Linked DNA regions of Nothobranchius furzeri. The protein of the gene in region 2 binds, or shares a complex with, the protein of the main gene of each other region. Links are inferred from orthologs where the notes say so. Each region holds a gene or a part of one and is shown on either strand. Other genes may lie near its edges. The genes, in order: slmapa and sike1.

Region 1 (3,817 bases), on a different chromosome or scaffold from region 2:
GTGTTTTATGTTCTGTCCGTTTTATAATCGCCAAAACGGACCTGAAACACAAAGGAGACCGCTAGCTAGGTGATAACTTCTCACGGGGCCGCACAGCTAGTCACTTTTTTTTAAAGTAAAGTAACCGGAAGGCAGTACGTTTCTTTATTCTGAAAATCTCGGGAGCTTCGCTCCGTTTCCGCATCCGATTTCCTGTCTTTCCTTCCCCAAAAATGTCGAACTTGACCCGTTTCAGAGGTGTCGCGCGTAGAAAATAGAACCAGCGCGTAAGGGCCGTGACATGCTGCTCCTGAGACGCGGCCGACTCGCGCTGCTGACGGCTCCGGTGGAAAGAAGGGTTTACAGGCGTGCCGTTACACCCCTAGTGAAGCTCTCAACATTGTAATTTCCTGGACTGAAGAAGCAGAATCATAATAGAAAGATTGAAGCATAAATCCCAAACAGTAATGTTTTATGAGTAATGCCACAGTGAGGACAATGAGACAGATAAAAGCAATTAAAGCATGGCAGTGCTGACGAATTATAGACAGACAAAAACTAGATGGACAGACAGGCGCTGGCCAGACAGATGGGGAAGAAATCAAAGATAAAAAAGCAACAACTTGTTTCCGAGAGTAAAACACGGTGGTTCTGGTACCAGAACTCCTGCCAGAACAACAAACAACTGCAGACTAGCCAACCGTTTTACATTGAGATGTCTTTTGTGAGCGTGAACACTGAAACTAATTCTCAACACCCAAACATTATTTGCTTCACAACTGAAACAAAGAAAAGCATGAAGGGATTATTATTATTAATCACGTTTCTTCTGGACAGAGAACTCAAACAGGCAGCCTAATAAGCAAACCCGTTTCTTATATTTACATTTCTACTAAATTCCTCTGGAACCAAACTTTGTTCCACCTTTTAAACATGTTTGTTTTTGAATCAAATACATCACTGGTGATTAACATGAACTCTTATCTAGTTTTCTACATTTGTTTTTAACATAAATCAAATTAACAAACAATCCCTAGAAAGAACTCAAATATAACATTGATTCCTTCTTTATTTGAAAGCATAAAGGGCTTATTGTCTTTCATTCTGAAGACAAAAACGTGCTTGATATTTTATTCTGTTATGACAATTAAACTAACTACCATCAGTATCTGAATCCCGCTCATCTTCGTCTTGGCTCTCAGCCGTCTCCAGGTTCAGTTTGTCTTCGACAGGTTCCTCTACGGGTCCACGGGAGACCGTGTCGACATCTGTCATGTGACCAGATCAGACACACACCATTTTGTCGGAGGCTCTACCAGCTACACACATGCACAGCACAAAGTCTAAATGATGGAGGGCTCCTGAGAAATGTGGCTGCTGTGGCAAAGTGAGCAGTGAACAGTCACCTAAAAGGATGGCGTCGACATTCAATCACCAGGAGTCAATCAGTGACCAAAAGCTTCTTTAATTTCCCCAAGAAGAATAAACAAAAGCAGTGGACAGTTTGAAAACTGTGGAAACAACCCAGACTATCAAACAAGCCCATTAAGAGTGGACAACACGTCCCCACGGACAACCCTTCTCAGACTGAAACACACCCAGTGGCTAAAATAAATGACTGTGTTGTTTTAGAAACGCAAAACATTCCCAGAGACTTCGAAAATCCAGTTAGATTGATTTTAGCGACATGGTCACACTCACAGCTACGTTTTAAACCCACTTAGTGGGAGAAAAAGAACAATTTGTCTTTTTTTCTAATAAACATTCATGTGGACGATGACTCTGGCCTCTTACAAAGCTTTGTGTTTTTGACTGGTTTTTATTTAATGTCTAGTTTCTATATTTAATTGTTCTGAAGCCTGATATAATAAAATATTCTAATGTGAAGAGGAAACATTACTCTAAAACAAAAAACAGTTCTTTAGATCTTTAATTAAAAACATAAAATGGGGGGAGTTTGTGTCTCTCCAAGCCTGTAAAACGGAGTCAACACACTTTCAGGTGTTTGTGGATTTATCTGTAATCTCTTTATGAATCATTTCTTGTCCTATTCCTGGAAGACAGGCTGAGTGTGAACATCCCACCACCTCCAAGATGAAAACAGAAGATGAACGACCAGAATCCCACCGTAGGAAACAAATGAACAAAGAAGAGCTGCAAGAACGGTGAGCAACAGGAAAAGGAATATCATGCAGCAGGGTGGCATGCATCGTTAGTGCAGGATGAACGTGTGAAGTGAACGGCCACAGACACACAACCTTTGTCTCACAGCAGACTGGAGACACGTGGACTCACCAAGACTGTTGTTCTCTTTAATGCTTTTCTCTTGTAGCTGTTCTAACCGCACTGTAAACAACAGCAAAGTAGTAACTTACAGAAGTAGATCTGATGAGACACTGCTGATCCAGCTTCTGATCTACAAGTATTTGTCTTCATAGTGTCACATAGCACAGTGTTTCCTAACTGGTCCTCAAGGCACACTGTCCTGCATGTTTTCCATGTTGTCCTTTTTAAACATCAGTGTTTCCCTGCTGCCAGACACCTGACTTAAATGAATGAGGGATTAACAGGCATCTGCAGCACTTGATGTCCTCCTGAGGAGGCAATAAGGTGTGCGGAAGCACGGGAAACATGTAGGTCAGTGTGCCCTGAGGACCAGGGTTTGGAAACATCAACATGGAGGACATGATTCACTTTGAGGTTAATTATGGAAATTATGATAAAATATATGATTAAAGGTTGGATTAAAGAGGTTAGAAGTAAGGACAAAGTAAATCTGTCAGGGTAACTGTCTGATGAACTAATTTGTACCTTGGAGGGCCGCGAGTCTCTCGTTTGTAAAGTCGTTGTCAGCCTGCAGAGCCTCAATACGAGCCTGGAGAACCTGCTCCTTCTCCTCCATCTCTTCAATTCGCATCTCCATCTCCCTTTTCTCTGTTGCCCCCTGCTGAGTCAGCTCCTCCTGCCTGCCCTCGGCTGCCTGGAGGAGAAGAAAAGGAGCAGCAAAAATCAGGAAGGGGAGACGAGTGTGAAGCAAACCAGAAATAAAACAAGCAGATGAAATAAAAAAGAAAAGAGTTGTTTTGAAAGATAAAAGAAAGAAAACATGAGGTAAGAAATAAAATAATACATTTTAGTTTTAAACACACAAACAAAGCTTTCAAAAGACGTTTCTATGCTGACTTAATTCTCGTTAATCCTGACCTGTTTGTTTAGGTACCTTAATTTTGTCAGTGAGCTCTTTGATCTCGTTGACAGCAGCGTTGTATTTGTTAGCCAGCTCCCTCAGCTCCTCCTGGCCCCTCTCTGACATCTCCTTCAGGTGGGTACACTCATCCTCGGTGTTACTGAGAGCGCGCTGCAGAACGTAACAATTTTTTTTTATGAACAAACAGCAGCTGTGGTTCAGTGACACAACCATGTGGTTCAACCTATGAATCCTCCACAGCATCAGTGGGTGAGACAGAGACATCACGCTGCCTCTAATTAGCTCAAATTGTCTTTGTGGGGAATGAAAAGTGCTGCACCTCTACATGAGTGCAAATATGGGCATTAAACTAGGTTGTAAAGCAGTCTGCAGAGGCTAGATGAGGTTAAAGGTTATGTTCAAACTGCCGGTCTTAGAACTCAAGTCTGATTTTATGCTGAAATGCATTTATCTGTTTGTTCCCATTGTAACTAAAACAAAACAGCAATTAGACTCGTGTTATCAGTCTACAGCACTGAAGAGACCCCAGGTACACAAGATGTGATGTCACACGTGACTAGCTCTGTTCATGCGTGCGAATATGAATGCTGCACATGTTGGTGTGTTTATCAGTTGTGCTATCAGAGCTGA
Region 2 (4,603 bases):
ACAAAACAAAAAAATACTTCCAGTCATGATACAAGCAGTTTATAATCAGTGTACCACTGTTTTATGAAACAGCATAAAACAGGCAAAACATGCCAGTTAAGTACCAGTGACCCTGATGATGTCTGAGCAAGAAAGAGCATTGCTTTGCCAGGGCCAAGCATGTGACTTCCTGACAATCCGCTATTCTCAGCTGGAAGAGTCAAAGTGACCCGAGCAATTGTGCTGAACACCACGATAAAAAGCGTTTCAATTTTAATTAAAAACTCGTCACAAACCCAGAAATTAAAATACACATCCATGAGTAAAAAACAAGCATAATGGTGAATAAAACCTGACTAAAATAAAATTATAAACGCCTCAGACTTCTAAAGAAACGTTGCTCAGGCTACAATGCCACGTATTCTTCATTTGATTTTAATAAATGGTATATTGATACTTTCGAAAAAATATAAACAAAGATGCTTTCTTTCAAGAGAAGTACGTCGTATAAATTGTTTTTTGTAATTATTTGGAAAACTTAAGAATAAACGTAAAGGTCCAGTTTAAGGTGTATCGTTAAGAAGTAGGTTGGCACATTTGCGACATCATCCAGCTGAAACAAATGCAAAAACCAAAATGGGAATTAGATCAAAACCAATTTTAAATCCGAAATTTGTCAGACGGCTAATCAAGTCCGATACAACACACATGCGCTAAAACGTGTTTGATTTCCTAACAGATCGAGGGTAAACGAAGAAAACACCGCGGCTAACGGCACGAGGATGATGGAAAACAAAGAAACTACCTACAAAGCTCGCGTCTACAAAAGTTGTGCACCAACTAGAAACGTCTTAAGTGTTAGAATGGCCAAAGTAGCATGTCTTCGGTACTTTAGACACGTCAAAGAAACGCCAGCTTGCTATTTAACCGTCGCTCGGTCGTTTGGAACGTTAGCTCGTTAGCCAGAGCACGCTGCTGTGGCCCGAGAAAAAACAAGGCATCCCCACCCAGGCCCGACTTCTGCTGTACACCGCCCGTTCGCTTTGGTGACCCCGCCTGAATTATAAAAAAATTAAATGCGAAATAAGACATTTAAATATATCTCAACGGTTTACCAAGCAGAGAAAAATAATATAAAACTCACCCCAACAGCTTTTAGCACTGTCACCAGCGCCGCTAGAAGCAGCACGGCACATTACGTAGTGATTAGGGAGACAGCTCCCGCGATATTTGACGAAGGCTAGGGAAGCCTCTGCAGCTGGCTCTGTTGTCACGCATGGGTTCATGGGAAATGATGTTCAGTTGTTTTGAAGTAAATAATCGGGCTCAACCTGGGCTCAACCGAGGTTTAAAAGGCATTAAATGCTTAATATGCAGTAAAGTATGCTATTAAATGTTAAAACGGCTTTTCCCACAGGTCTGCGCACCAGACACTCATGAAGATAGTTGGATAATGAAATTATTCAGAAAATGTCTATGCACACGGTTTCCTTGCCGAGAATGAGAAAACCAAAGGATTCGTAAACATTTTTACGTCTACGATGATACGTTTGACGGCAAGATACTTGTTTACGGTACAATCCCGGAAGTGACGCTATATTTTTTCCTCTCGAATACGAAGTTGCCAACAAAAAGAGGGATTTCTTTTGTTATACATTGTCCTGGTTTAATTAGTCATCTGTCTCTTGAGAAATGATCTAGGAGGGTCCGCTGAGATATGAATATTTGTTTGTAAAACATTTTTGTGCGTTTGAACAGCATAGCCAGCGTAAGCTACAGTACGGGCAAATTTTCGCCTGATCAAACTGGTATTTGGAAGCTTTAGTTTACAAATACGACTAGTCACTTAATAGCTAATGGCCTGTACTTTTGAAAAAGTGTTGGGGGATGCTAGGACCCTCCTGGAAAGGCTGAAAGAGCACGATACGGCTGCTGAGGGACTGATCGAGCAATCCGGGGCCCTCAGCCAGAGAGTGCAGGGCATGAGGGAGGTGGGCAATGCTCTTCCAGACAAGGTAAGATGGTCTCTCACACATAAACGTTGGGTGAAAGTATATTTATATTAGAAGGCTGACTTAAGCCATGCATTAAGGATTTGGGGTTGCAGGTAAGCTTAAAATGACACTCTTCTCTAACTCTACTCAAGTACTTAGACATTTTGAGATAGAAGGTCTGATCGTCCAAAAAAGTACACCAGCCTTTAAAAGCATATTTAAATAATGGGAATTATTTATCAAGAGGTGGAACAGTCATCCAACTAGTGCTTAAAATGTATTTTTTACTTATGACATTTTCCTTGTTGCTGCCTTTTAGCACACAGAAGACAGCTCAGAGATTCGGGAACTCACAAAATACAAGCCTCACATCCTTCTGACTCAAGAAAACACTCAAATCAAGGAATTGCAGCAAGAGAATAAAGGTAAAATCCTTACAATGTTTTTAGGTATTTTTAGAGTTCATGTGTTTGTCTGTAATTTTTGTCTTCGCCACTGTTTCCGCAGAACTATGGCTGTCCCTTGAAGAGCACCAGTACACACTAGAACTGATCATGGGTCGATATCGCAAGCAGATGCTCCAGCTGATGATGGCAAAAAAGGAGCTGGACACGAAACCAGTGCTCAGACTACACCAAGACTACGTCAAAGTACACCAACTTTCATTGTGCTGTGAACATTCCCAGTCATGTAATTTTCTGACAGAAAAAGGGGTTTGAAGTTATGCTTTCTGAATCTTATCCAGGAAGTGCAAAGCCAGGTGGAACGGATATGTGAGATGGGCCAAGTGATGAGGAGAGCCATGCAGGTGGACGATCAGCACTTCTGCTCTGTTCAAGAGAGGCTTGCTCAACTGGAGGTAAGGACTGGAATGGCAGTCGTGATGTCAGGAGTTATCATTAAGCTTTTAAAAGGCAAAATCAGTGACTCTAAGGCTTTGAAACAGCTCAGGAAATTAGCATGAGTCTACAAACACACACAAGGCTTAGTGCTGCTAGCATAAAAACTGTTGGAGTTTCTCAGGTTTTCTTGTTTGCTAGTTTCCTGGAGCGTATGGTGCAGCATTAGATTATGAATGAAAATATCTGGACACACCTGAGATCAACTTAGAAACTCTTTGAGATGACTTTCTTGACTCATTCTGGTTAAAATGTTGATTCAATAAACCAAACTCGCATAGATACAACCATCTTGCATGGACTGGTGATAACGAGTAATCTACACGAGGTTACGTTTGGTTATCCGGGCTCTTTCAGATTGAGAACAAGGAGCTTCGGGACCTTCTGGCCATCAGCCAGGCATCTGTGAAGATGGGAAATGAAGAGAGCCACCAGCCATCAACACCAGCAGCAGCAGTGCCCTCAGGCAGTGACCAATGAGTGACCCGAGCAGCTGCAGTCTGAACTGATCAGGTGGAACAACCAACCAAACAGGAAGAGCTTTTTCTTTTTTAAGCACAACCTAGATTGCAGAATAATGTTTGTAAAAGTAATTTAAATTCAACATTAAAGCCATCAGAAGCATTTAACTACCAGTGGGTATATCATTATGATAGATATCTTTATGTACAGTAGTTGTGTTTTCACTGCAGCAATGTTGGGAGTGAATTCCTCATAAACGAACGGAGTTTGACTGAGGTGCTTTGGGTATCACTGGTTTATTTTATATTTATCTAAATGCTGAAGTGAAGCTGAGGGAGATTTATTTTTGTTTAGAATGGAGAAAGGATGAGTTTAATCTTTTAAGAACATAAAAAAGTAAAATGCCCAAAAAGTAAAATGCCTCTGTTTTAAACGCTAACTTGTACACCACGTGTGATGTTGTGTTCATCGCCAAGAAAATGACTATTGGCTGTTTCACAAAACAAAATGCCTGCGCTGGAATGACAGTGGGCAGTTTTTTAAAGAGATTGTAAATTTATAAATGTACATTTTGTCTGCCATAGTTGATTGTTATGCTTACAACATGATAAATACCAGTTTTTACTCTGAATTTTTAGATTGGATTGCAGAGTAAATGTGTAATAGTTGACTGCACATCTTTCTCACGGTAACATTTTGTAAGCATTACTTTTTTGAGTGTTATGTACTTGTGCACTGTTATTTTGTCATGAACTGTAAATGTCATCTCAGGAAATTACTGTTGGTTAAGTGAACATGTTTATGGAAGTGTAATTATTTGTGTAAAATAAAACTCGTTCTGAAAACTAAGTCATATTACCTTATGGTGAAGTTTTTGTTGATAAAACACAAAAACCTTATTTTTTAATTCAGGGTTTCACCGCTAGGTGGTGATTTTAAGCTCTTCTGATTGTGACAATGAGACGTTTGGAAAAACATCGCTCCAATAACATTTAAGTGGGAAAAAGCACCAAAAAACGTTAATTTATTTCAAGGCTTCAAAGTATTTTTATCATTGTCGATTATTTGATAAGATTTCATAAATGACGTGGTGAAATAATGGGAACTGCACCGCAATTTTCTTGTTATTCTAAATTTGATTTTCACAACTTGAATATTTTCCGGGTGACCTAAACGCAGCACCAGAGTCACATACCTGGAGCGAAGCTAAGTCAGGATGTCTGAGAAGGAGCTCGGTAAAAAGTGGGACCGGTGCCTCGCAGACGGTGT

What was found.
Region 1: the proteins of sike1 (region 2) and slmapa are in contact, whole or in part, in a crystal structure (PDB 6AKM), measured with the Homo sapiens proteins. The link is inferred for Nothobranchius furzeri from reciprocal best matches to the Homo sapiens genes SIKE1 and SLMAP. Residues at the interface, in NP_079349.2 of Homo sapiens: Ile5, Ile8, Leu9, Ala12, Lys13, Leu16, Leu19, Arg20, His22, Asp23, Ala26, Glu27, Leu29, Val30, Ser33, Ala34, Leu36, His37, Val40, Met43, Arg44; in NP_001291349.1 of Homo sapiens: Leu168, Tyr171, Leu172, Glu174, Ala175, Arg178, Glu179, Met181, Leu182, Lys185, Thr188, Leu189, Leu192, Leu193, Ile195, Thr196, Ala199, Ser200, Thr202, Ser203.

The regions. Positions count from the first base shown.
Region 1 is NC_091743.1:68,927,149-68,930,965, reverse strand, and holds part of slmapa (sarcolemma associated protein a), read right to left. Parts: intron 3,338-3,817; coding exon 3,200-3,337; intron 2,960-3,199; coding exon 2,791-2,959; intron 2,326-2,790; coding exon 2,275-2,325; intron 1,248-2,274; coding exon 1,140-1,247; intron 1-1,139. UniProt on the Homo sapiens protein: Associates with the striatin-interacting phosphatase and kinase (STRIPAK) core complex, forming the extended (SIKE1:SLMAP)STRIPAK complex.
Region 2 is NC_091755.1:53,138,052-53,142,654, forward strand, and holds sike1 (suppressor of IKBKE 1), read left to right. Parts: upstream 1-1,690; 5' UTR 1,691-1,835; coding exon 1,836-1,994; intron 1,995-2,292; coding exon 2,293-2,398; intron 2,399-2,480; coding exon 2,481-2,623; intron 2,624-2,718; coding exon 2,719-2,832; intron 2,833-3,229; coding exon 3,230-3,352; 3' UTR 3,353-4,183; downstream 4,184-4,603. Other genes in the region: micos10 (MICOS complex subunit MIC10), read left to right, coding at 4,551-4,603.